Nothobranchius furzeri: one gene and its partners. The protein of the gene in region 1 purifies or fractionates together with the protein of each later gene. This does not show direct contact. Links are inferred from orthologs where the notes say so. Each region holds a gene or a part of one and is shown in the gene's direction. Other genes may lie near its edges. The genes, in order: bag2, dnajb6b, dnajc7, edrf1, hsf1, luzp1 and dnaJ homolog subfamily C member 13.

Evidence for each region.
Region 2: the proteins of bag2 (region 1) and dnajb6b purify together in Homo sapiens (affinity purification with mass spectrometry; 4 studies listed by BioGRID and IntAct, with this or other methods). This does not show direct contact. The link is inferred for Nothobranchius furzeri from reciprocal best matches to the Homo sapiens genes BAG2 and DNAJB6.
Region 3: the proteins of bag2 (region 1) and dnajc7 purify together in Homo sapiens (affinity purification with mass spectrometry; 7 studies listed by BioGRID and IntAct, with this or other methods). This does not show direct contact. The link is inferred for Nothobranchius furzeri from reciprocal best matches to the Homo sapiens genes BAG2 and DNAJC7.
Region 4: the proteins of bag2 (region 1) and edrf1 purify together in Homo sapiens (affinity purification with mass spectrometry; 3 studies listed by BioGRID and IntAct, with this or other methods). This does not show direct contact. The link is inferred for Nothobranchius furzeri from reciprocal best matches to the Homo sapiens genes BAG2 and EDRF1.
Region 5: the proteins of bag2 (region 1) and hsf1 purify together in Homo sapiens (affinity purification with mass spectrometry; 3 studies listed by BioGRID and IntAct, with this or other methods). This does not show direct contact. The link is inferred for Nothobranchius furzeri from reciprocal best matches to the Homo sapiens genes BAG2 and HSF1.
Region 6: the proteins of bag2 (region 1) and luzp1 purify together in Homo sapiens (affinity purification with mass spectrometry; 3 studies listed by BioGRID and IntAct, with this or other methods). This does not show direct contact. The link is inferred for Nothobranchius furzeri from reciprocal best matches to the Homo sapiens genes BAG2 and LUZP1.
Region 7: the proteins of bag2 (region 1) and dnaJ homolog subfamily C member 13 purify together in Homo sapiens (affinity purification with mass spectrometry; 3 studies listed by BioGRID and IntAct, with this or other methods). This does not show direct contact. The link is inferred for Nothobranchius furzeri from reciprocal best matches to the Homo sapiens genes BAG2 and DNAJC13.

What each region holds. Positions count from the first base shown.
Region 1 is NC_091752.1:19,643,860-19,648,011, reverse strand, and holds the start of bag2 (BAG family molecular chaperone regulator 2), read left to right. Parts: upstream 1-1,352; 5' UTR 1,353-1,606; coding exon 1,607-1,731; intron 1,732-1,915; coding exon 1,916-2,025; intron 2,026-3,620; coding exon 3,621-4,015; 3' UTR 4,016-4,152. UniProt on the Homo sapiens protein: Co-chaperone for HSP70 and HSC70 chaperone proteins. Acts as a nucleotide-exchange factor (NEF) promoting the release of ADP from the HSP70 and HSC70 proteins thereby triggering client/substrate protein release.
Region 2 is NC_091747.1:47,486,495-47,489,063, reverse strand, and holds the end of dnajb6b (dnaJ homolog subfamily B member 6b), read left to right. Parts: intron 1-1,265; coding exon 1,266-1,375; 3' UTR 1,376-2,069; downstream 2,070-2,569. UniProt on the Homo sapiens protein: Has a stimulatory effect on the ATPase activity of HSP70 in a dose-dependent and time-dependent manner and hence acts as a co-chaperone of HSP70. Plays an indispensable role in the organization of KRT8/KRT18 filaments.
Region 3 is NC_091745.1:16,064,866-16,068,365, reverse strand, and holds part of dnajc7 (dnaJ homolog subfamily C member 7), read left to right. Parts: coding exon 1-19; intron 20-1,219; coding exon 1,220-1,333; intron 1,334-1,447; coding exon 1,448-1,522; intron 1,523-1,630; coding exon 1,631-1,749; intron 1,750-1,898; coding exon 1,899-2,052; intron 2,053-3,500. UniProt on the Homo sapiens protein: Acts as a co-chaperone regulating the molecular chaperones HSP70 and HSP90 in folding of steroid receptors, such as the glucocorticoid receptor and the progesterone receptor.
Region 4 is NC_091752.1:32,210,973-32,215,006, forward strand, and holds the start of edrf1 (erythroid differentiation-related factor 1), read left to right. Parts: upstream 1-1,234; 5' UTR 1,235-1,308; intron 1,309-1,413; exon of another isoform or gene 1,414-1,557; 5' UTR 1,558-1,605; coding exon 1,606-1,707; intron 1,708-1,885; coding exon 1,886-2,094; intron 2,095-2,531; coding exon 2,532-2,598; intron 2,599-2,688; coding exon 2,689-2,814; intron 2,815-2,893; coding exon 2,894-3,018; intron 3,019-3,098; coding exon 3,099-3,246; intron 3,247-3,373; coding exon 3,374-3,475; intron 3,476-3,551; coding exon 3,552-3,673; intron 3,674-3,981; coding exon 3,982-4,034. Other genes in the region: si:ch1073-143l10.2 (autophagy-related protein 16-1), read right to left, coding at 47-120, 203-287, 363-426, 496-583. UniProt on the Homo sapiens protein: Transcription factor involved in erythroid differentiation. Involved in transcriptional activation of the globin gene.
Region 5 is NC_091759.1:9,321,637-9,325,634, reverse strand, and holds the start of hsf1 (heat shock factor protein 1), read left to right. Parts: upstream 1-1,198; 5' UTR 1,199-1,517; coding exon 1,518-1,649; intron 1,650-3,131; coding exon 3,132-3,240; intron 3,241-3,367; coding exon 3,368-3,504; intron 3,505-3,998. UniProt on the Homo sapiens protein: Functions as a stress-inducible and DNA-binding transcription factor that plays a central role in the transcriptional activation of the heat shock response (HSR), leading to the expression of a large class of molecular chaperones, heat shock proteins (HSPs), that protect cells from cellular insult damage.
Region 6 is NC_091758.1:27,128,022-27,132,247, reverse strand, and holds the start of luzp1 (leucine zipper protein 1), read left to right. Parts: upstream 1-1,426; 5' UTR 1,427-1,628; coding exon 1,629-1,760; intron 1,761-1,825; coding exon 1,826-4,079; intron 4,080-4,226.
Region 7 is NC_091747.1:45,068,596-45,072,095, forward strand, and holds the end of dnaJ homolog subfamily C member 13, read left to right. Parts: coding exon 1-18; intron 19-107; coding exon 108-182; intron 183-253; coding exon 254-366; intron 367-452; coding exon 453-622; intron 623-701; coding exon 702-744; intron 745-824; coding exon 825-998; intron 999-1,075; coding exon 1,076-1,255; intron 1,256-1,323; coding exon 1,324-1,464; intron 1,465-1,543; coding exon 1,544-1,687; intron 1,688-1,778; coding exon 1,779-1,878; intron 1,879-2,019; coding exon of another isoform or gene 2,020-2,075; exon of another isoform or gene 2,076-2,124; intron 2,125-2,493; coding exon 2,494-2,591; 3' UTR 2,592-3,113; downstream 3,114-3,500.

The sequences.
Region 1 (4,152 bases):
AACACATAAAAGGTAGTTGTGTGTGTGTAAATTAAATTTGATTTACACTTCATTCAGATATTGGTGAAGTTTTCAGATGGAGCCTTTATGCACTTGTGCTGATTTACAGTTTAACAGGTAACTTCTAATGAACAGATGGAATTTTTTTCAAGAGCTTGTGAAATCTGCTTGTGTCGGTTTGGGATCACCTTGTTTGTGTGGATGTAGTTTTCCCCAAAATAATTCTTGTTAATCATTTCTATAAATGTCCCCAAAACAGGGAATGACGCATTAGGGTGGCCACCTTAAGGGACGTCCACCACAGCTTCTCTGGACCATGGGTAACTGTTACAGGACCTTTTGAAACAAGATCTTTATAATTGTTGAACTATTTACATAAAAGGATTAGGGCCACTGAAGAAGAAGTTCTTTTTCTCTTTTCTGAGGGAAAAATAATCAGAATTCTGAGGTTAAGGTTAGACGTCTCATAAATATTTACACCATTTTGTTCCTATTAGATTTTGAGTTTAGGAAGAAAACTTTTGCCAAAAGTGTATGAATGTATTTTTTGTACCAGATATTTATATTTAGGGAAATTATTTTTAAAAAATAGATGTAAAAATCTCATGGGTACTTTAAAGCAGCAACCTGGAGTTTCCCCCCTTCCAAGAATTATTTATGATTTTCTTTTAATCCATAAAAGCCTGTACTGTGATAACCAAGGCAATACATCTTTTTGAAATTTTCTTGGCGATTTTTGGGGGAGGTTGAAATCACGGCTCCCCCAAAAGGGTAATCAGCTCCCCCGGAAGCCATCAAACGACATACACATGGGGAGCTCGAAAAGAAGATTGGACGGAGAGGTGATCAGAGGGAAGACGAGCCCAGACTGATGCAGAGTTGGTAACATTTCTTATGGACAAGTAAGTCTTTAAAATATACATGATAAACAGCACAACATGACTGTTCATAAAAAGGCCATAATCATGGAAACTGAGAGGCCTAGGGGTGTAATGCAGTTTTCACCTCTAGATGACAGGTGTCACTGCGTTGTGGGAATTCAGTTCAATTAATCCATAACAAAAGGCTGCTTAAATCTCACTTTTTCTATTATATCTATGATTATTATAAAGTAAAAGCCATTCTGGAAGGTCCACTGTGGCTCCAGAGTTGCGGGTTGCAGACCACCACAGGCTTTCATCTGTAGTCTGGAGTGAAAATGAATTATATATATATATATAGGCCTGGATAAGTTTATCAGAATAACTTGATTACTTTACCAATCTGCCTAATAAAAATTATGCCCAAATAAATCAAGACACATTACTTAAAACTGCAAAGTGAGTTGGAACATTATAGGTCTTTTATTTCCGTGGACCTGGAGGAGCTTGCTCACGGACCTCTGCTGGTCCACGCTCCTTACGATTGGGAGCTCCAGCTCTGGTCTCCTCGGGAACTTTCTGCCGGAGTGAAGGAAGTCCATGTTAGGAAATGTTCCCCCCATGGGGCGCTGCTGCTGCCTGCCTCAGTCCGAGGATTTACACCCAGCTGGACGGCTCGGAGGGACACACACTGGATTTTGCGCTCACCGAGGGAAAGCACTGTAGCCATCATCTTCGTCTTCATTATGGCTCAAGCGAAAATACAAGCGAAAATGAACGAAGCTGCCCTCTGCAGCAAGTTCAGCAGGACGCTTTCTATGGCAGACCGCTCGGGGCGACTCCTGGAAAGTTTGGATCAGCTGGAAACGAGGTAACAGGCCCTTGTTGTACCATGTGTGCTACGGAGCCGCTATTTGCCCCGGCCGCTAACATTTATTGGCATAAACCTTTTATAAACACTGTAAACAGGGCAATGTGACAATAAATGTTTTTCATAACAAACATAACTGGTTTGCAGCGTGTTATTTCATATGCTGTCTCTCTTTCTGTGTCAGAGTGGAGGCTTTACGAGAAGCAGCATCTGCCATGGAGCAGGAAAGGGAGTGCATCCTGGAAATGATTCAGTCCATACAGAACAGTCAAGAAATGAGGAACATCTGTGCTGGTGAAGCTGCTAACTCTCTCTTAACTTACATAAGCGCAAAAGTCACGCACGGCTTAATGCCAGGGAAGATACGCGGTTATAAAGGGGAACTAGTACGGTTAATGTATTTCTACCAGAATCCCATCTCCTCTGATCTCACCCAGACCCAGTTTGTGTGAACCAGGCTCATGTTTCACCTCTGGATCGTGTGAGTCAATAGCCTACATCTGGTTTATTGATTTGGTTCCGCTGTAAACAGACAAAAAGGCCTAACCCTTAAAGCTCATTATTTAAATCCAGAGTCTGACCAGGGTAGACCGTCTAGTCATGTTGGTTTATGCTCCATTAAACCTCATTAATGTAAGTTAGTATGATTCACACGAGCTCCATGGTTCACCTAGAAACTCCTCTCAACTGGTCAGGGATTTGAAAGAAGGGCTTTATGTAAAGGTGCATTATGTAAGACTGACATCCTGTGGTCAAATTTGGTTACTGCAGACCACATTTGTAAGCAAAAGTCACTGCCGTGAGTGTCAATCAAAATCAAATCAAAGATACTTTATTAATCCCAGAGGGAAATTAGAGTTTCAGTACACACAATTCAGAGATCAGACATACATGGGCAAGACATATGACAAGAATTGGTGACTGTGGTCATTCGCAACCCTGAGTCGTGCTAATTGAGATCAGAGGGTTACATGAGGATTGGTTCAGGTGGAGGGAAAAAAAGGCACTTCAGAGTTACCCTCCACTGGGAAGGCAGCTTTGCTATGCAAAAAAAAAAAAAACACCCACCTCCGACAGAGATGCAACAGACTTCAGGCATTACACAATATAAGTGTCCACTAGGTGGGGAGGTGGGTTGGGATTATCCCTACTTCAGTTCCTGCAGCCACGATAGATTCTCATGGCGCAAAAGGGCCTGTTACAGATCAGCACCAGAAGATTCTAGATGACAAGAAAAGATGAGTTATAACCTAATCTTTGAATAAAATTTGCAAACATAACCGAACATTCTGTCCGTTAAACACTAGGCAGTCCGGCTCCGACTTTGCTTCCTGTTCAACTACTCTAAGCCAAGAATGCGCAATACATCCACAAATACGGGTATGCGCATACAGCGGAGGGACTGTCAGAGGGGAGTTTGATGGATGGATCATGATTCAGTCATTAAGAACGGGATTGCATGTTTCAGAGGAAATGAAAATTATTAGTTTTTCGACAAAGCATTTACTTTATTGGTTGCTGTACGATGTGATGACCATAACAAGCAATATGGCAAAAAATGCTCCAGAGAAACATCGTCCATCCCAATAAAAAATATGTTTGGAAATGTTATTGCATTCATTTCTTCCAATTAATATCAGTGGTATTTTGGTGTCAGCTTGTTATTATTGACAAGTTGGCAGAATCATGGAGAACATCATGAATATTGCTTAACAGGTTTCAGTGGGGGCAGTATTATGGTGTGGGGTGGGATCTCAGACAAATCAGAGCTTGTACTCATTGAAATAAACTTTTAGAAATATGAAATGACTATTGATGTGCTGTTACAGCCGCATTAAAAGCAGTTTCTTTCCTATAAAGATTTAGTAATATGTTTACATGTCTTCTAGGTGAGAGGGAAGAGTTATCTTTGACTGCGAACCGTCTGATGGGCCGAACGTTGTCTGTGGAGATCTCTGTTGGCACAATCAGAAACCCCCAACAGGAGGATGCACTACTCAAGGCCACGTCTATGATAGACGAGATTGTGAAAAAGCTGCTGAGCGACATGGAAGGTGGCCGTCAGCAGCTGCTGGCCCTGCACGCTGCCTGCGTCACGGAGGCACCGCTCGTCCCTATTGACCAGAAGTTTCAGACCGTGGTGATCAGCTGCGCTCTGGAGGACCAGAAGAAGATAAAGCGAAGGCTGGAGACTCTGCTGAGGAACGTTGAAAATGCCGAAAAGAACATCAAGATAATGGATCACCAAAAACTGGAGGGCACAAAAGCTAACGGGGGTCACTGAGACCCTTTGCCGAGGTGTCTTGAATTCCACTAACCTCACAGAAAGCTATAGTTAGCTTTTACACATTTAATTAATTTCAGATGGACTCTGCTTGAAGCAGCAAGGAGAGGTCTTATGGGAAAATGCCATACCGAATT
Region 2 (2,569 bases), on another chromosome or scaffold:
CTGAATGCTTCATAATGGCGGCTTCGTTAGTTAAGGAGGCAACCTTTAATTTCACCGAGCATAGTTCCTGCTGAGATGCGAACAAAAGAGCGTAATTCTCTCACTCAGATGCACAAACAGCTCGAAAATGTCTCCTCAGAGAGCTTAATTTACAAGTTTTATTCCTGTAAACCTGAGTTTAAGCCCAAAATCGGATTATCTTTACTAACGTGTCATTAATTAGTCACAAACGCGTGTAAGCGGGTTACAGATTTATCAATAATTGTTGCAAACTTGATCCTTTATCATCTGGATCTTCTGGTAATAAAATAGCTTAATTCCAACCATGCATATGTTAAAAAATGACTTTGTATTCAAAGATTTGCATAAATAACTACCATTTTATTAGAAAATTCTGAATAAAGTTCAGTTTTTTCACTTTCAATCACAGCAAAGAGGCGCAAAGTTAAACAAAAAATCACACAATTAGAATTCTGAGAGGGTTGCATTCTGTATGAATGTTCATTATGAACGTTAATCTAACTAATCAGCTAGAGCAAAACAACAAAATCAAAACAGCCTCACAGCCTGCAACCAGCTCAGACATACATTGATTGTGTGCAAAATCAAAAAGTCAAATCTCAAGTTCACTCATGCAGCAAACCTTCCTGCTTCTAGTCAACAAGCAGAATGTAAATAAGTGAGTTACTCTTATTTTCTTTTCCTGCTGCAGCTACAAAGATAAATAAGTAAATAAATAAATAAATAAATAAAAGACTGGATTAGTTTAAAAATGTACCTGAAAACCATCTGATACCTTTTCTGTACCATGTTTAGTAAATCATGCGTATGCATTAAGATTTACTTACTGACATAAGTATTTTTATTTTTGTACCTTTTTTACACAAGTTTGCTTCTAATTAGGACAAAAAATACATGTACTGTATCCTGAAAATGGCATTAAAACAATAACTAACAGGACTGAACTCAATACATAATTTCATATCATATAAAATAATAACAATACTACAATAATACTACTACTAATAATAAAAATTGGTACTTACCACTTGCAGTGCCATCATCCACCAGAGAGCAGCAGACAAAATAATGTACTAATCCTGATAAAGAGATAGAGCTAGCAGAAATACAAGTTATGATTACAAATTAGATTTATTTTAGCACTCACATAATAATTTAGGCCACAGTAAAAGGAATAAAAAGAAAAACATTTAATCACAGCTTATAAACATTCTTAAATGCTTTCTTTTTGTTTTACTTTGAAGGTCACATGGACTCCAAGAGAAAGAAGCTGTGGCTAAAGGAGGCAGACTCCAAAAAGAAACGATCCGCTCGACTCTTCCCTCGATTGAATGGATTCGGCACCTTTTTCTAAAACACCCGGCAGGTATAAAAGTAGTTGTGTTGCAAAAGAGCCGTCGGCTACATGTGGCATTAGTATGATTTTTCTAAAATCAGAGCCGACAGCATCGCTGCTGCATCAGATCTCCTCCTATCTGCAGTATAAAGCTTAATTCATACCTGCTTTCATCAGCCATACAACACCACAACAGCAATTTTTATATTTTATTCTGATTGTAGACGCTGCAGTGGTTCGCTTGTTGCTGTTGTTGTTGAAGCGTTGGTCTTCTCCAGGAGGCCTCCAGATCTTAAACAAATCTCTAATGACTGAACTGATTTCTGCAGCTTGCTTTTTAGGCTCTTGAAAATGTTTGGCTGCAAAAGAGAAATTGCCTGATTTGAAATAACCATGAGATGTTGAGGTTATGGCATGTGAGAGACGATGAAGGTCAGTCTATTTGGTGCAACAGGCGACTTTGAAAGTTTCAAAGAAATGATGCTCAGTCCTAGTACTTTTACCAGTATTGCACCTTTAAAATGCAAATTTTAAAGATTTTTTTGTAGCCTAATCAACAACACGCTCTTTTTGTGTTTTTGTAAAATACAAACTCATTTAGGATCTTCTGACAGATCGTTCTTGTAATAAACTGCGTTTAGATGTGGAAATGTGAGACAAATGTTCACATTTTTATGGACTCTGACAATAAATACTTAAATAAAACAAAGAATATACTCATCGTTTTGTTGTGTAGGACCACATTTTATCACCAGGAGAATAATCTCAGGAAGACATCAAGCTGCTGAGGCAGTTGTGATAAGATATCTGCTGTTACAGTTCAGCGGGTGTTATCAGCCGCCTGTCCTGTGGGCCGGAACATTATTACTTCAAAACAGTGGCTGTGTGTCATTACAAATCAAGATTGAAAAAAGAGGAGAACAAATAGATTTTAGCCTATTCCACATGTCTTTGTCTAACCATGAATGAGATGTTTTTGATTTAAAGGTGCAGTGTGTAAGGATAACGTAAGAATTTTACAGTGATATAATCCTAAAACAGTCTAATGTCTCAATTACGTTGGAAGGAAGGTTATACTCAGACATATTTCATTCTCAGCCGGCTGCTGGGGTTGTCAGGTTTTCTCCTTTCAAAAGTCTGTGGGAGTGTGGGGTTGCCGTGTCTCCTGCGAGCTAGTGTAGTTTGTAATTCGACTACAGCTAGCAAAAAGCA
Region 3 (3,500 bases), on another chromosome or scaffold:
AGATAACGCCTTTGTGAAGGTATGGTGTGCATAAGAAGTTACTGTCTGAGTTTTTGTTGAGTTCAAATGTGATTCTGCAGTGGGTATGGAGAGATGTGGATGGCTTCCTGACTGGCTTAGACTGGTGAGCTAATGGCTAGTTCAAGCATCCGACAAAAATGTTTTTCTGTCATCTTAAAGAGTTTGTGTAGCTTCACTTTCTAACCCTTTTGCACCACCTTCAGCTTTCATTTATTTCAGTGGGTATTTATGAGCATAAATGTTATGCTAAATCCCACCAATGTAAAAGATGTTTGATGCGTTCAGACTAAGGGATGCCGTTCCTTAAAATACATTTCATCTGTTGCCATCTTCTCCAGAGTTGAATCAATGGAGAAAAAGTAGTTTTTAATCAGCCCAGACACTCACCTAATCTGTGGGTATTCTGTTAGCTTTAGCTTAGCATAAATGAGTTAATGGTAACAGCTAGCCTTTGGTGTGAACCTCAATAATCATACTGACTGCAAATAAAAATAATACCACAAAGGATTTGCAGCTGATTTAGACTTGGGACTACATTACAACAAAGTACCCCTGTAGGCCTTACTAAGGTAGTGCTAATGTTGTATTTACTCTAAATCCTTGGGGGCTATTATGAATTACTATAATTGTGACAGTAGATATCCACAATGACAATAACCGGTGAGTTTTGTGGTCAGTGTGCCATGTCCTTGCACCTTGCAGCAGTGGCTTATAGTAGTGCTTGGATGTAGTGTAATCCCAAGTCTAAATCAGTTCCTGTACAGTGATCCCTCGTTTATCGCGGTAGATGCGTTCCAGACCTGGCCGCGATAGGTGAAAATAGGTGAATGCATATTGTGCCTTGGCGCAACAGAGGGAGGTGTCATGATTACGTGGAGAGTCACTGCCGAGCTCCGGCAGGAAAACCTATTGATGATGAGAGTAAACATGGGCCATAAGTTCTGCTTTTGTAAACAGAACCAGCTGAGATGATAAACTGGAGCGATGCAGATCTCCAGGAGCGTCTCTTCATTAGAGCTTGGTGTCAGATCACCAGAGACTGTTCAGGAACTGTGGAGGACCTAAACTCTTTAACGTGAGGCTATTCAGGAAGTGATCTACAACAGTGCAGATGGTCATTATGTAGAATTTATGCAGGAATACAATTCTAAATGTCTGAAATATCCTTTAAGATGGCAGACGTGCATCTCTCCTACAGGGACATTTGCGAGAGGGCAAGTGCCACCTGTGTCTTGGTAATGCTATGGCTGCCAGCCGCTGTTTCCAGAGAGTTCTGGAGTTGGAGCCGGATAACAGTCAGTCCCAGCAGGAGGTGAGTGAGCCTCTGATTTGTAGAGCTGATTAGGTTATCCTCTGTTGTAGAAGCCGTCAGTGTTGCTGAAAGGCCTCGTGGGTAAATGCCAGATTTTTGCTGATCCGTTTGCAGCTAAAGAACGCAGAATCCATCCTGGAGTACGAGAGGATGGCAGAGATCGGGTTTGAAAAGAGAGACTTCAGAATGGTGAACTACTCTTTTAGCCTTTAAGCAAATTCATTTGACTTGTGTTGTAGAGTCTGAGAATGAAACATGAGACAGCCCAAACACAAGAACGCTGTGGTTTGTTCTCAGGTTGTCTTTTGTATGGACCGTGCCTTGGAGTGTGCATCAGCTTGTCACAAGTTTAAGATCCTGAAGGCCGAGTGTTTAGCCCTGCTGGGACGATACCCAGAGGCACAGTCTGTAGCCAGGTAGGAGTGCGTTATCGAAACCTGATGTAAGAGAAATGAAAAGCACTTAAGAAATGTGTACTTCAGAGGTTTTTGGATTTAATCTCCATCAGATTTAAATTAAATACAGATCGAAAATCACAGAACTTCATGTGTTTGCCTCAATTCAGTGACATCCTGCGAATGGACCCCACTAATGCAGACGCTCTGTATGTTCGCGGTCTCTGTCTGTACTACGAGGACTGTATAGAGAAGGCAGTCCAGTTCTTTGTCCAGGCCCTGCGAATGGCTCCGGACCACGACAAGGCCCGGCTCGCCTGCAGAGTGAGTTGATGAGAATTAGGTAGTGGTCCAACTGTTGAATGATTTATTTATTTGATAAATGTCTGTTTTATATTGAATAGTAGGGTTATGACTCAACAACCCGCAGGGTGATGATTCGATCCAGAATCGAGTCTCAATTCAAATCGATTTACAGTGTGTGTGTGTGTGTGTGTGTGTGTGTGTGTGTGTGTGTGTGTGTGTGTGTGTGTGTGTGTGTGTGTGTGTGTGTGTGTGTGTGTGTGTGTGTGTGTGTGTGTGTGTGTGTGTGTGTGTGTGTGTGTGTGTGTGTGTGGCTTTAACATGTATTCACATAAACCAGTAACATTATCATTGAACACGAAGACTAACGGTAGCTAATTATGGCTAGTTTATACTTCTCCGTCAGCAAGTTTGTGCGTGCGCACACACACACACACATGTATTGACAGATGTTTTTTTACTTCTCTGTTGGTGCGTCAATGTTGAGCAATTTTCTGCAAGGACAGCACTTTTCTGGGGTATCCTGCCATCATTGCAGTCATGTTTCTAGTGTGTTTACAATGTGATGTTGTTAGGTAATTTGATTTTATCCCATATTACCTTAAAGGACGACACACCCTTTGATAGAGAGAGAGAGAGTAAATTGATTATTTGTAATGTCCATGTGTGTGGCTCAACCAGCCCCCACTCTGCTTCAGCCTCAAAGCTTTATCCTCACCTGCTCTGTATACCTGCATTCTGCAATTATCTGGTAGATAATACTTAACCTCCATAACCCTGGAACCTGAAATAAACACACATGACAACAAGGAAGACATTTTACCCTGAGTCTCCAAATGCATGGAGAGTAAAGCCGGGCATACACTGTGCGACTTTTTCACTTTTTTGAGCCGATTTTCCAGTCGTGCGAGAATCCACGACATCGGGGCGAGTTTTGCGCCGAGCGGTCGTGTAGTGTACAGGGGGTTACGAGAGGCGATTAACACCACGTGACCAGCCGCCGATCAGCAGTCGTGAGGTCGCAGGGATTTCTGGTGTGTTTAATATTTCGCTCGTCCCTCGTGAGGGTATCGCACTGTTGAAGCGGCGCTGCGAGCAGCTGCGACCCAAAAAGTATCAGAACCGCTCACGGCGCATGCGCGCGCAATCCTGCATCAACACCGGCCGGTCGCTCGCTATTTCCCTAATAACACGCTGTTCGTTTTTGTTTCTACACGTTTTTTTACTCGCAAAGATTGTCAAGAAAGCGTGTTTGTCGTGTTCATGCCAAATTAAACTGATCACAAAACACAGATTCACTTTCTTTATTTCGTTTCCTCATCCAACCCCCATAAATCCCTGTGTGTCCTCCTGCAGCACTCCCGAAGGACAACAGGCAAGACAAAAAAGTCTGACGTGTTGAGTAAAAACGGCTATTTTTAGCACATTTTTAGGGCCGACGTGTTGCTACCAGACGTACAGTGTGAGCA
Region 4 (4,034 bases), about 13 Mb from region 1:
TTCTTTGTGTTTTTGGATTCTACAAATAAATTAGATTAAAAAGTACCATGACTGCCAGTATTGTAGCTCAGCTTCTTTCAAATACAGGACAGAGGTCAGATCAGAGACAGTTTGAGACAACTGATGAGAAAAAATGGCATTCATCATTAAAGAAGAATATTTCCTTTCCTTTCCTTTCCAGATTGCAGCTGATTTCACTCACCTTGTGGACCAAGTGTTCACTTTCTTTAAGCTGCAGTTGAATGAGCTGGGTGTCTTTTCCTGTTACCCCTTCACCTCCATCCACGCTAAAAATATAGTCAATACGTTTAAATTGTCATGCAAAAAACTAAATACAAAATTTGACCAAAGATTGTTTTAACCTCTTATCATGCATATCCTCCCAAATCTGTTCTCGAATTTCCAAACGTTCCTCCAGCTGAGACACTAGAAAAAAATCTGACAATATAAAAACATTATTACTTTAATTAAATATAAAATAAACGTTACTCTTACAGCTTGAGAAGACTCCAATAAATGGATGTTTTTCTTTGAAATCTCTCTGCTCAAGTCGAGCGCGAACGTGATTCTTCCAGCTTCCCATAATTCTCTGTTAATATTCTGACTGTTTCCTTTACAAGCTTTTCAAATAAGGTCACGAAGTAGCAGCTGACAAGTAATCAGCACAAGAATTTGGGTCTGTCAGCAACGTTAACGGCTCCGCCCCATTTTAACGCAGCTGCTTGACATTCCTCTGCGGAGTTGACCAAATCTACAAATCTTTTTAAATCGAATCACCTCTCAATGGAAAACACACCCAGATAAAACTCACTGTAGGCCTAAAAGTTACGTCAATGGAATGCCATAATAATGTTATTATTTACTTTTGTTTATTTGTATTATTATTTCGTTGTATTATTATTTCATTAAAATGAATTAGTACATTTAATAAATACTACATTTTAATTTTGTGTAGTTCCTTTCTACAACACTTCACGTGTTTTTCTAATTGTCAATTTCAAAGTAAAAGACTTCAAAACAGAACACACTCAAAAGTTCTAGAAAGAACCTTTCTAGGTACTTCCGGTTCACGTTCAATTAATAAAAATATATATTTAGGGGGTTATTGTTGCTTGTTAAGTCAGAATTTGGGTTTATTATTTTGAAAGAGCATACTTTTGTATTTTATTTTCAAAACTTGACAGAAATGTTGCCGAAAAACTTGGAAATAAGAAATTTTCCTACCGCCCATGACTTTAAACCGGAAGTTGTTTCGTCTCCGTTAACTAGCGTCAGACATGTACACAGTCGTGTGCAGATGGAAAGAAGGTACATGCTAGTGACAGAAGTTACTGTTGACAAAATGTTTTTGGACTAAAAACGCAATAATACGTCCTCATTTGAGAGTTTGGTAGCTTTAGTTTAAATTGCCGAGTCTTATTGACACTTTTTTTCATGCTAACGTTACTACTCTTTCTTGGAGCTTAAACTAGCTAACGGTGAATTTATCGGTGAAATTCACGAATACCGTACGCCTTCGAGATAATGTACTGCCTAAACTGTAAACGTGTTCTCTAGTGATTAGGAACCGGCTTATGACTGCGGGGTAGCGGTCGTCTTACCAGAATGAGCTCATCAACAGCTGGGGACGGAGAGCCTGGGATGCCCTGGGACACTGCTAGGGAAGACATTGGTGGCTCCAGCAGCACAGGAGATTACAGCAAACATGTAAGTTACTTGGCGAGTGAATGTTATGACAGTTTATTTCAGTCAATAAATCGTTACATGTAAGACTATCCATCAAAATAGCTATTTACTGTTACCTGGAGTAATTATTCAACATTTAGTCAGTGAGTTCAAATGTGGAGTGTGTTCCTTTGTTTTTACCATGACTCTTATTTTGTAGGAGTCTGCAGTTTGCTTAGGCAATGGTGAGGTAAAAAGCTGTGCTGTCGTCAAGTATTCTGCTGCACCACCTCCTACCACCTACGCCCTGCTGCAGGAGAAAACAGACCTGAAGCTGCCACCTGCCAACTGGCTGAGAGAAAACCCTCAGTTGGGCAGTGCTGGTACCACTGTGTTAGGCTCCAGCAGCAAGTGCAAGCCTTTCTCCAGGTAAAAATGGTATCTGAGTAATTAACTGCGAAGAGGAGTCCTGTCCTGTCAAATTTAGCTAAATATTGGTAGCCTGGAGGTGACTGCAGAGCTGTATCTCTTGCTGTGAAGCATAAGTGCCAGTGCCAAACCTAAACTCTTTTTTTTCTTTCTCAAACGTCTCTAGTTATGCCTTATGCCTGTGTGCAGCATAGTCAGCTTCTTTAAAAAAATATATATATATATATATAAATATTCTTTAAAATATTTATTTACACGACCATATTCTAAAAACGAAATAGTCTAAAAATGTCATGTTGCAGTTTTTAATGAAAATATATATGTAAACAAACCCTATAATCTCTCCCTGTCTGAAGTGCTAATAACAAGAGATTTCAGCTTGAGATTATTTGATCATCAAACAAATGTAATGGATCGATTTTTGCCTTTTTCCTCAGTTTTGGGATGGCTTATGACTTCATTGACTGCATCGGAGATGATGTTGATGTGGTTTCAGACTCTGAGGTTGGTGATGTTCTAAGACAATTGAATCCTTTTCTTTTTCAGAAATTTACACACAGCTGATGTTAATTTTGTTTTTATGTTTCATTTAAGAACATCAAGAAGCTTTTGAAAATTCCCTACAGCAAGTCGCATGTTAGTATGGCTGTTCACCGCGTTGGAAGGACGCTGCTTTTGGACGAGTTGGACATTCAGGAACTCTTACGCAGATCCTCACAGGTAAAAATGTGTTTTCCATTTAGCTTCTTTAAAATATTTATTTACACGACCATGTTTTAGCATGCTTTATACTGTACAGACCAGGGATTGGACCTGGCTCAAAGAGATTTATCAGCGACTAATAGATCAAAAATGGCAAAGAAAAAAGAAGAGCAAAGAGAACTGGTACCAGAAAGCCATCCTATCCAAGTTCCTCTACTACAGGTGAGTAAATAGCTTTGCTTCATTGATTGACTTGAGCTTAATGCATCATTCTCAGTATAAATAATCTATGTCTCTGGTAGCATAAACGGTGATGGGGCTGCAGAGCCTGTGTCACATGACATTGATAAAGAAGATGAGGAGAATGAAGCCGAGGAGTACAGCTCCACATGGCCTGCCACTTTCACCAGCACAATGTCTGACGCAGAAGAATCAGATATGCCCAAACAGGTAGCTGAGCTGCACACACAATGCTGTCGGTGTTTATGTCAGGTTATTGTCTCAATAATAGACACGGTTAGGAACAGTTGCTAGAATTTATTAGAAGAATGAAACACTGTTGCTGTTAAATGTGCAGGAAAGCGTTTCTGTGGACAGCACGTTTGCTCTGGGTCAGGTGACGTCGGTACCCAAAGAGCAAAACCTCCCCACTCTTTTTAACGAAGGGGAAAACAGTCAGGTAAATGCAAAACATCTTAATGTTATTACTGTATGAGTGCTGTCATACACGCTGTACTTTATGTGATCATTTACAGGGTTTAAGGAACGATTTTGTACGAAACATCATGTGGACGTTTGAGGATATCCACATGTTAGTTGGGTCCAACATGCCGATCTTCGGAGGCGGTCGCTATCCTGCTGTCAGCTTGAGACTCAGGTTTGATATTTGAGCCATTTTATCCCAAATAAACATTGGTGTGTGTGTGTGTGTGTGTGTGTGTGTGTGTGTGTGTGTGTGTGTGTGTGTGTGTGTGTGTGTGTGTGTGTGTAACATGCACAGACCAGCAGAAAGGAAGATGCATTGGGTTGAGATTATTATGGAGGGTCCAAGTCTTTTTCTAATTCACTTGACTGTGAGAATGCAGCAGCTGCAGCCTCTCCAACACATTATTGCTGCTCAGTCTGACTGATTAAATGGTCACATGGCTGCTGAGCCCTCACTTTGGACTCTCTCTCTGTTTTCAGGGACAGCAATAAACCAATCAACGTTCTGACAGGCATCGACTACTGGCTGGACA
Region 5 (3,998 bases), on another chromosome or scaffold:
TTATTATTAGTAGTATTAATATTAATATAATATTTATTATAATTTTTTATTGTGTCTTGTTAATCTTATAAATCCGGTTGTTTCTGCTGATTAGAATATTTCTAATGGTCTAGTTAAAAGGTTTTTGGTTTATCTACTGAGTTGTTCTTTCTTTTTTGTTGTTGTTGAGTTTTGGTTGTTGTTACAATATAATGTGATTGATGTTCACAAAAAAAAACTACCCACTTAAATTCTTAACAAATATTTTGTGTAAATACCCAAAAGCCTGTGAGAGATAAATTCCTAATTATATACGCGTTTATGTTTCTGTCCTGTGCCATATTTGACCACAGAAAACATTTTCTTTAATTTGCACAAAAAGAAAACCTTAATCTTGAAATTGGTCAACTAATGACATAACATATCAACAACACTACTGTTTGAAAACAAACAAGCCCAACAACTGTATTGTCAGACTGACCAAAAACAACATTTCTGTATGATTGCAATGAAGTTTATGATGTGAATTAAAAGCAAAAGTTAACAAATGTCGATCAAAATCAATTTATATAACATAACAATGTTGTAAAACAACAATAAAACATCAGACTGCAACAATAATTTTTACTTTAAACAGATTATCATTAGGTTCTTAAAAATGACTGAATGTGTTGATTAAATCGAATTTGTGAGTGTCTCCATCCATGTGCAAACATAAAGATAACGTGTCACCAAAAATTGGTTCTGTTTCGTTCCCTCCTGACTGCCAGTGGCAGTAAACAGAGTGGATGTCCTCGCGCTCTGCGCAGGTCGAGTAACTTCCGTTAAATGGGCTCGTAAAAGGTAATATTTAATTGCAAATAAATGGTTTACGGCATAAATGTATGGCAACATCTGGTGTGAAAATACCACAGGTTCAAGATCAGGCCCCTGAAAATTAACAAAATTTCAAAACAGGCACTCATCTAGAATTTACAACCACGAGGGCAGAGTTCAATGCCTTGCCCAAGGACACTTAAATTTGAAATGAAAACACCTGGGATTAAAACATCAACCTATCGCTAAGAAAAATGACATGTCATGCAAAATAAAACACAAAGTTTATATTTATTTTAAATGTGTATTTCTCTGCTTTTGACCCTGCCATTTCCATTCCAAATTAAAAACAATCCAGATATAGCTTTACGTCACACCGCGACCGAACGTTCACTTTACGTTATGTCATGACGCTGCGAAAGAGCGACAGCCATTCAGCCAGCTACGCAGTTGTTTGTATTATCGGATTTGTTGGAATTTTCCACTACGGAGTTTGTTTAGAGTAAAGTTAGAACATTGGTCTGTGGACTAGCCGACACTAATACCACTCCAGATCGGGGTTAACTTTTCGAGATGCTCCACGAACCCTAATCTGGTTTAGTGTCGTAGTTTATTCGCTTTTTTGTGTCTGTTAGGAGTTGATGGGGTTAACAGTAGGCTAACCGACTTAGCATTGACATTAGCTTCAGGAGTTTAGTGTACGTTTATCGTCTTTTATTGTAATGGAATATCTCGGAGGGGGTGGAGTGACCGGAGGAGTGGTGGTGAGCGGCGGAAACGTGCCAGCCTTCTTAACGAAGCTGTGGACCCTGGTAGAAGACCCGGAGACCGACCCTCTTATCTGCTGGAGCCCGGTACTCATGTTAGGCTAGCCTAGCAGAGCTAACTGCTAATTACTCGCAGAGCACTTGAGACGTTATTCTTATCAGAGCGAAGACTCCAGGGAGAATGTTTTTAAAAAGCGAGTAAATACATTAGTTTTTTTTGTTAGTTTGTAATATTGATAAAATGTAATATCACAAGTTAGCTGTAACAGCTGCAGGTGGATTTCTGACGGGCTAACATTAGAACTGTCTGGCGCTCTGGATTTAGCCATCAGGTCCTCAGAGAGTTACTCGTGTTCGGCTGGTGTTATAAATTTGACGTATACTGGGGACCAGGTGTTGACCTGCTGTTGGTTATGTCAGTGAAAATGAGCAACCAAGTTAATTTACTTACATAGACCTCATGTTACCTACTCAAGGCCTATTTTTATGTTTGACTTGTAAAACCTGATACAAGTTTTCTAAGAACTCTAATGTGGATTCATATACAACAGTTTTTACGTTAACAGTCAAACCATACCGTAAACATGGTATTGTTGTTGTTTTTTTGCAGAAGTTTTTAATTCCTCAGTAATACATTTTCAATTTATATTGTTGCTAGTTGAGTTAACTGACTGGGTTTCTAAAATCCTCTACAAATGCTCATCCAGCTTAAAGATCACATTAGAATCATAGTTTCTGTCTAATAAACTTGCTGAAATGTATATCTATTGAAATTGTGATTATTTGCCCGAGTTTGGAAACGCTTTGCTTTTATTTCTTCTCTTTAGCTGAAATCACTGCTGTGGCTCATCAAAATAAGAGCTTCAAGTAACAAAAACACACAAAGCACCTCTCAGCAAGGCACACTATACTATATTATAAAATGTTCATTTTACTAAAGCCTTCTGTCTTACTACTATAATATATATTTTTAATTATTACTTTCAGAAATGTATACGTTGGTCACCAAAAGTCTTGTCAAGGCTCAAAAGCCTTCAAATATCCAGAGTTCACAGTTTAAGAAGACAAAATATTTTTTACTTTGATTAAAAATAAAATCACTATAGACAAAATTAAAGGGCATAAAGTCTGAGCTATTGAGGATAAGATTCAGACATAAGTTTAAACATGTAGAAACCAACTAATTATCAAACACGTTTGTTTTATGAAAAATGGGACAGATGCAAAAGCAGAGAAGAACTGCAATATTTCCCAAATAAAACTGAATAAAACATCAATTTGCAAAAAGCTTTGCAGGAATATTTCCCTACTGATTCTAATTCACACAACAATAGTTGAGTTTAGATCACCGTGGCAACAGTCTGCAGTCAACGGTGTAAGCTGATCTGCAGACAGCTGCAGTTCCTCTCTCCACCGTGCCGACATGGTAAAAAGTTTATTCACAATTTACGGGTGTTAAAATGTCAAAATCTAGTATTTTTTCTTGTAAAATTCTGTTTACTGAATCTTAAATTGTTTGTTATTATTGCTCTATTGACACGACTGATTGCTCTGTGTTCTGTATATCAGAGTGGAACCAGCTTCCATGTGTTTGATCAGGCTCGCTTCTCTAAAGAGGTTCTACCAAAGTTCTTCAAACACAACAACATGGCAAGCTTCATCCGACAGCTCAATATGTGTGAGTATCAGCTGTCATCAACCAACTAAACCAGCTCTAGTTGAGCGGTCTCTTATTATAGTTTCAGGACTAATCAGGAACATTTATTTAACCAGCTGCTGCTTTGTTCTATTCTGCTGATGTCCAGATGGTTTCCGTAAGGTGGTGCACATTGAGCAGGGTGGTTTGCTGAAACCCGAGAGAGACGACACAGAGTTCCAGCACCCGTTCTTCATCAGAGGACAAGAACACCTGCTGGAGAACATCAAAAGAAAAGTCACAAATGTATGGTAACGCAGAAGCACTCAGATCAAACGTCTGGTGCTTTTTGACAGATTAGTTCTTTCAAAGTAATCTAGAGGTAAAGTCTTGTCTAGGTGCTAAAAATCTGATTGACTTGGTTAAATGTTAATAAGAAAAAATCAAAAGGATTTTGACAACATTAATTATCAATAATTAATATTTTAGAGAGAAACTTAATTACAAATAAATCCATTCAAGATCATCTCCATCCTAACCAGAAGCACAGACTGTTTAATGTACAGATAAACTCCCCGCAAATCCCAAAAAACTACCTCTCAATGACACTGAAGTTGGATTTAATTTTACATTTTTCTTGTTTTCTGTATTGAAATCTTTCTAAAATAATCACAGAGTCCTGTAATAAATCTTTGGAGCAGCTGTCTATAACGCTATGAGCTCTGACTGTCTTGCTTTTCCCTACGTTTGTGAACACGTGCAGTTAGAATGGACACATCTGATATATTTGGTAATGGTTC
Region 6 (4,226 bases), on another chromosome or scaffold:
CTGCTGTTGCTATGGAGGAGTGTATGCGTGATTGAGATGTGCTGCTGTCAGCAAAAGCAGGCAAGCAAAACACAGATCGATGTGGGTCTACAGGAGCAGGGAAGGAACAAAGCGTGTGGGGTCTGTTCGTGCAAGGCTAACACCCCCCACCACACACACACACACACACACACTTGAAAGATGTGCTGCTCCTGGCCCTTTGAAGGACAGGCAAGGTGAAAAACATGGAGGCTCAATGGCAAAAGACTTAGACACTATCTCTAGGGTTTACAGAGAGCAGCAGTTGTGTGGACGATGACTCCTTGTTGATGTCAGATGTCAGAAGAGAATGGGGCAGATGGGTTCTAGACGATAGACCGTAAAAACAATATCCTAGTCCAGTTGTGTGGGAGAAATTTTCTTGACCCACCACGGCACTAGTCAGCATACTGCAAGAGACACAGACATGCAGTGTAAATCCGGTATTAAACACATACTGAATATCGCATTGGTGTTATTGTGTACCAGGATAATGCCAGTAAAACGTATACACTCGTACAGCAGAGGGGATGAAAGAGCTACAGTAGCCTTCTGTTTTACATCTGGGATGTCTCAGTTTGCCTATGAAGGAGCTGTCCGTGGTCTCCACAGTGGAATACAGTGGGTGGGAGGGGGGTTTTAGGATGGTGGTCATCTTCCCCAGCATTCTCCTCTCACACGTCTATTCAACTGTACCCAGAACCAAGTTAGCTTTGTGAACTAGCTTGTTCAGTCTCTTCGTGTCACGGTCAGAGATGCCTGCACCCCAACAGACCACAGCAGAGTGGATTTCCGAAGGACCTCAGTTTCCTCAGGAGGTGGAGGCGGCTTTGGCGCTTCTTATACAGATACTTATGCTTGGAAGGAACCCACCGATGCACCAGGAGAACATGCAAACTCCTTGCAGAGAGACCCCAAGCCGGGATGTGAACCTGGGACCTCCTTGCTGCAAGGCAACAGCGCTAACCACTGTGCAGCTGCTCTTAAATCATCAAATATCTAAATCATTCAAGATTCCTTTGTTTCTTTCTTCTCCCATCTTTTCTTCTTCAAAGGGACATTTATTATCATTTATGTTATAAAATGTATTTGTGTTATTTTTATTGATGCATTATTTGGTTGTTTAGAGAATGAGGCGCTACTCACCAGGTGGAATTCAATGAAACATTTAAATTACAGCAGCAATTTCACTATGGTAGACTTCTTCTAATTTGCCTAGGTAAACTCAGGAGTAACTGCTTCGTTTGTTAACAGGATACAGTGCAAGCAAATCCCTATGGTCTTTGACTCATTTGCTTGGCTCACATAACTACTTTTGGGAATGCAAATGATTGTCATTAACAAACCAGGAATGACTAAGTGTTATTTCCTCTCCCTCCTACTGATGACAGATTTGTCTGCTAAACACCACTCTGAGGAAACTTTGACGACTTGAAGAGACAGCTGGAACAACTGGAAGAGCCAGACTGCAAAGAGGCAACAGCATTTCCCTGAGAGCCTTTAGGACTTTCTGTCACTGCCACACAGATGTGGAACCCCCATCAGTCTGTCATTAAATAATCCGACAGCAGAACCAACCCAACCGATACATTACACAGACGTTTGTAGCCATGTCTGATCATAAAGACATGACGCATCGCCACCTACGGCACAAGCTTCAGAGTCTCGGCAGACGACTGGATGAACTGGAAGAAGCGACAAACAAGCTGCAGAAGTCCGAGGATGAGCTGTTGGATCTGCAGGTTGGTACTGGCTGACAATGAGACGAGTTAAGTGATGTAAACATTAATGAAACTCTTCTTCGTAGGACAAGATCATCCAAGCAGAGGGCAGCAACTCATCACTCCTTGGCGATGTAGAAACCCTGAGGAAACATCTCTTGAAGATCCAGGGCAAAGATGAGGAAGTACGCAAAGCTGAGGACCTTTGTCGCACAGTTCGAGAGAAACTGGAAGAGGAGGAAAACCTCACAAAGGAGCTAAAGGCAGAGATTGAGCGTCTGCAGCGGAGGATGGCTGAACTAGAGAAACTGGAAGAGGCTTTTAATAAAAGCAAGTCTGACTGTAGCCAGCTCTGCCTTAGCCTCAACGAGGAGAAAAACCTGACCAGGAAGCTCTCATCTGAGCTGGAAATGCTCAAGGCTCGTTTGAAGGAAGTGGAAGGTTCTGAAACAAGGCTAGAAAGAGCAGAGCAGGCTTTGGCTATGGAGCTTGAGAAACTGAAGGGATACACTCAGGCCTTTGTCAGTGAGCGCAAGAGGCTGTTGGAGAAACAGAAGGAGGATGAGAAAACCATTCTAAATTTGACAGAAGAAAAAAAGAAACACCTTGGCATATCGACAGAGCCAGGGCGTGCAGATTTCATGAGTTCAAGAATCGAGGATGAGCTGTCGTCCACTTACTCCCTCACGAGTAAGCTGGCTGGATACAAGAAGAAGATGGACTCCTTAAAACTAGATGAGAACATCAGCATCGTCAACAAATCGGACAAGAAGAAGATGAGCGGTCTTGGCGGCTCACAAGAGGACAACAAAGTAAAGGAGCTGACGCAGGAATTGGAGAAGCTGAAAAATCGCCTCAAACAGTTGGAGATAGTGGAGGAGGACTTGAAGAACTCAGAGTTTAAAAATGGAGAACTTCACGAAAAGTTCCAGATGGAACGAAATCGAGCTCGTCAACTAAGTGAACAGGTGGAGCAGCTAAGGACGCAGCTGTTCGGAAAAGGAGGGATTGGAGGCAACGGGGTCAGTCACCTGGAAAAGCACGGCAGTGAAGGCAGCAGTATTCATCCGAACAGTCCCGCTAAGGTCCTTGAAAATGGCAAAGCTGAGAATCAGGAGATCGTGAAGGGAGCTTTCAGACAAGAGAAACCTAAATTTAGAAGCGCTGCAGCTGCTTCAGAACCTAGCTCCCCTAAGCACAGGAACAGGGAGCTCTCCCCTCAGCACAAGAGAGAAACCAAACTGAGGAGCAGAGAGCTCAGCCACACCGAGGAGAGATCTCCAAAGTCTACGAGGAGAGCCCTCAGTCCTGCTATCAAGACCAGAAGGACACCCAAAACCTCAGCTGCTGCAATTGTGTCTGAAATTGGAAAACAAGATGGTGCACGGCTTACTGAGGAAAGGACACGAGGAGCCACGTACAGCTCCCTAAACTCCACTTGTAATGATGCTAAGAAGTTGTCTGTTCTGAGTCGCTACCCTCCAGCAGCTAATGACAAGAAGTCACAGAAGATTGTGAACAAACAGACTGATGGGGACCTGAAAAACAGCAGGGACAAGTTTTCAAAGCTCTACGTTGGTAGTGATAGCGAATCAAACAACTCTGATGCAGTGCCAGAAAGCTCCAGTGTCTCCGCGCTGGAGAAGGAGGTGGCGTCCGCCTCGGATCAGGAGTCTGTAGACCTGGTTCAAGAATCCGTGTCCGCGTCTGTGGCATCCACCTCATCCAGAGCCAACGGATCGTACGCGGCTTACAGGTCTCGCATCTCTCCGCTGCTCGTCAACGATCAGGGCTCAGACAGTCATTCCTCTGCTTCGGAAACCGAATCTATCAGCTCAAGGCCATCTGAAGTGGAACCCGTCACAGAGACAAGTGCAACTATTAGCAGTAGGACTGCAACCCCCAGGTATGCCAGATACCCACATGTCCATGACTCTCATTCAGAGGGCTCTTCTTCCAGGAGCTCATTTGACGAAGAGCTGCACAGTAGGACTCAGTCCTCGGACGGTGGCCAACAGGGATTCGTGCACATTCCGTCAGCGATGGAAATCCAGAGAGTGTGCAGCCCTCGGGAGGCGCTGAGGTCCAATGCCATCATCAAGCCCGCCATTGTTGAGATTGACAGGAAGGAATTGATGATTTCTGAGTCCTTGTCTACAAACGGCAAACCCAGTATCTCCACCAAGCCAGCAGTGACCACCACCAGTAAAATGACCAGTAGCATAACCATTTACCCAAACGACCCTGGGTCTTCCAGAACAAGCAGCCGCAGCAGCAGCTTGTCCAGCGAACCTTTGCCTGTTAAAGAACGCCACACGTCTACCAGTAACATCCTTATAGGTAGGTGTTTTATACAGTAATTTATTACCAAACTGATTTGGTTCATTCACACTAGTTGATCCAGTAGTTAGTAATGCACAGATTCTTGCTAAAGTCTGTTTGAAAGGTTTTTTTATGTAGAACGTTTATAATAAAGGGTCATGCAGC
Region 7 (3,500 bases), on another chromosome or scaffold:
TCCATTCACTTCCCTCCAGTAAGAAAATCCAAAAGTATCTGAGCTGACGCCTCTGAGCTGTGATTTACCTCTGAGCTGTGATTTAGACGATCTTTTGTTTTCTCTAGGCAGGCAGATTGTGCTGGAAACCCTCCACGCACTGACTTCTAACACAAAGATCGTTAAAGAGGCGATGGCCAAAGGTCAGTCGTTCTTTCAGCTCCTGAAACATTCACACCTGTCATGAACTTGATGAGATCTCTCTGTCCCCCAGGTGCTCTGATCTATTTGCTGGACTTGTTTTGTAACTGCACACACCCCCAGGTCCGCACACAGACCGCTGAGCTGTTCTCCAAGATGACCTCCGACAAGCTGGTTGGACCGAAGGTCAGCCTGGATGCGCGTCCTCGAAGCCTCTGAGAGCGTCACACCTTCACTAAATGACCCTCGTCTTTGATTTCTGACTCACTTAGGTGCGTTTGACTCTGATGCGTTTCCTCCCGGGCGTATTCATGGACGCCATGCGAGATAACGCTGAGGCTGCAGTGCAGATCTTTGAGGGAACGCACGAGAACCCTGAGCTCATCTGGAACGACACCTCCAGGGAGAAAGTGTCCACCACCGTCAGAGAGATGATGCTGGAGTGAGTCACACAAGCTGAGACGGTTTAACCAGCTGTTGAGAGCAGGAGGTGATTAAAACGTGTTTGTTTTATTATTTAGGCACTTTAAGCAGCAGAAGGATAATCCTGACGTCAGCTGGAAGGTACGTGTGACATCACTGTAGTTTATTGTCGGTGTTTAGTGTTGCTCTGCGTTACAATGACCTTGCGTGTCTCTGTGCAGCTGCCAGAGGACTTCACAGTGGAGTATGGATCTGGGCAGGGCGAGCTCGAGGTCGGTGGAGTTTTCCTACGGATCTTCATCGCCCAGCCTGGCTGGGTGCTGCGAAAACCTCGGGAATTCCTGGTTTCCCTCTTGGAGACTTTGAGTGAGCTGCTGGAGAAAAATAACCCCAACGTGAGCCTCAGCGACACAAATCATTCTTGTTTTTCTGAGTTTGTTTACTCATGTATCTGCTACGTGGCCTTCTACAGGGTGAGGCTCTGGAGACCATCACCACAGCAGCAGTTTGCCTGTTCAGCACTCACAGCCACCTGGCGGATCAGGTTCCTCCTCTGGGTCACCTGCCCCGCGTCCTGGCAGCGCTCAACCACAAGAACAACACCGTGCCCAAGAGCTCCATCCGCCTGATCCACGTCCTGTCGGAGAACGAGGTGAGGCCATAAAAACCATGTTTGCTGTGCAGCTTTGGCCAGACACTCATTTTGAACCTGACTTGCAGCTGTGTGTGCGTTCCATGGCGTCTTTGGAGACGATCGGCCCTCTGATGGCTGGGATGAGAGTCCGCGCCGACATGGCCGGACTGGCGTGTGAGGCTCTCAACCGAATGTTCCAGAAGGAACAAACGGAGCTAGTGGCTCAGGTAAATCTGTCAGGTTTGGGTTATGCTTCCATTTTGTTGGACTTTCCCTTCAATAACACATCTAGTACCTGATCCACAGGCTCTGAGGGTGGAGCTGGTCCCATACCTGCTGAGGCTACTGGAAGGAATCGGCCTGGAGACGTTGGAAAACCCTTCAGCTACCAAGGCTCAGATCGTAAAAGCTCTCAAGTCCATGACTCGCAGTCTCCAGTATGGAGAGCAGGTCTGGATAAACGACCTCGTGTCATCGCAGCAACAAAACAAAACAACGTCTGTTACTGATTAGAAAACTTTTTCTTTTCTCTCTTTTGCAGGTAAACGAAATTCTTGCAAAGTCTTCAGTCTGGAGTGCCTTCAAAGACCAGAAACATGACCTTTTCATCTCAGAGTCCCAGACTGCAGGCTACCTGACGGGTAACTAACCAAAACATCACGAGTGTGGCTGAGAGCTGAATCCTAACGCTTTGCTCATAAAACCCTCGGCTGTCCTTCTCTGTCTTTAACTTCCTGGCTCTGCGCTTCCCTTCCTCCTTGCCCTCTCCATTTCCTCCTCAGGGGTTTCCACTCCGTCTCTCCTGGCTGCCAGCAGCCCTCTGCGAGGCGGGCTCTAGACTCCAGAGCCGGGGCCTCACAGCCCTTCTCTCTCTTGCTCTGATGCAGGTAGACTCTCACCTGACTCCTAGTCCCTCCTTCTTTACGTCCTTCATTCCATTTTCCATTTCTCCCTCTTCATCTCACCGTGCCGAGCAGATCATAACCACCTGAAACTCTCGTTTACATCCCAGTCGTGGGAATTTAGTGTTTACCGCTAACGCAAAGCAAAATCTTAACAGAAAAATTCCGTGTCTGGATTATTTTTTGTGTTTATTTTGATTAATTTAGTAATTTTTTTGTCTTGGTTTGGGGTGATGCTTTCTCGTGCTTTCTGAAAATTCAACAGATTTTTAACCCAAAAGGTCCTCAACAGCCTTGTTTCCTAGCGTTCCACCCGTCTGGCCTCTGTCTCACGTGTCTCTGTTTGGCCTGCAGGTCCAGGAGTTGCGGGTTACCTCACAGCAGGAACTGGAACCACAGTATTGTCCAGCGTCCCACCCCCTGTGGACAACAACGTCGGAGATCAAGGCTGAAGGACACCCCTCACACAGTCCCGCTACAGCTCCCAGACTGCCCTGCAGTTTCACCGCCACAGCTCGGAGAAGGACTGATCTGCTCCCCAGAAGAGAGGCAGGGGGACGACCAGTGAGAGCAGTCCATCCCAGACTGTCACCAAATTCTCCACAACACCACCTGCAGCATCACTCTTCTTTCCTCTGCTTAGAAATGACACTCAAGTCTTCATTGATGCTTTCTTTTAACAGATGACCATGTTTTTGTGCTTTTTCTTTGTTTTTGTTTTTTTGACAGAAAAAGGTTTACTTTTTGTATGAATATATTTTTTCTCTAGAATTTTTTTCCGTCATGAGAAAGAAAAGAGAAGACCAAGACTTGTGATGGAAGCTGTTGTCTCCTCTCCATTCATATCCTGACTAAAACACCTGGTCTGAGGAGAATGGGCCTAGTTTGTGCACTTGACATTGCTGATCTCTTAGATAAACATTTCCATGTCTGTGTTAAAGAATTCCATCATGAAAACAAAAGAAATGAGAAAATGAATCCCTAACGTGTCTCATTCCTTCCCTCTGACTGAAGCTGGTTGTTCTGGTTTTGTCGCACAAACCTGCTCTAACATTTCAGCCTTTCATTCCTCCCACCGGCTCTGCTCACTCTGTGAAAGATCGTCTTATTCGCTGCCTAAATCGTTTTAAGTAATTCTTTCCCCAGAATGCAAAAAGCACTAGATTATTTATAAGTCAGAATATTAAATGAATAAAATAACTGAAGGAAAGGAGAGTCTTCTGACACGAAGAATGACTTTGATTTTGAATCTATGTGAAAAACTAGTGCAATTTGTGAAATGTTCAATGTAATATTGCATATATAAACTTTCTATATTGAATGTACATTAAAAAAATCAGTCACAGTTGTACATAAAATTT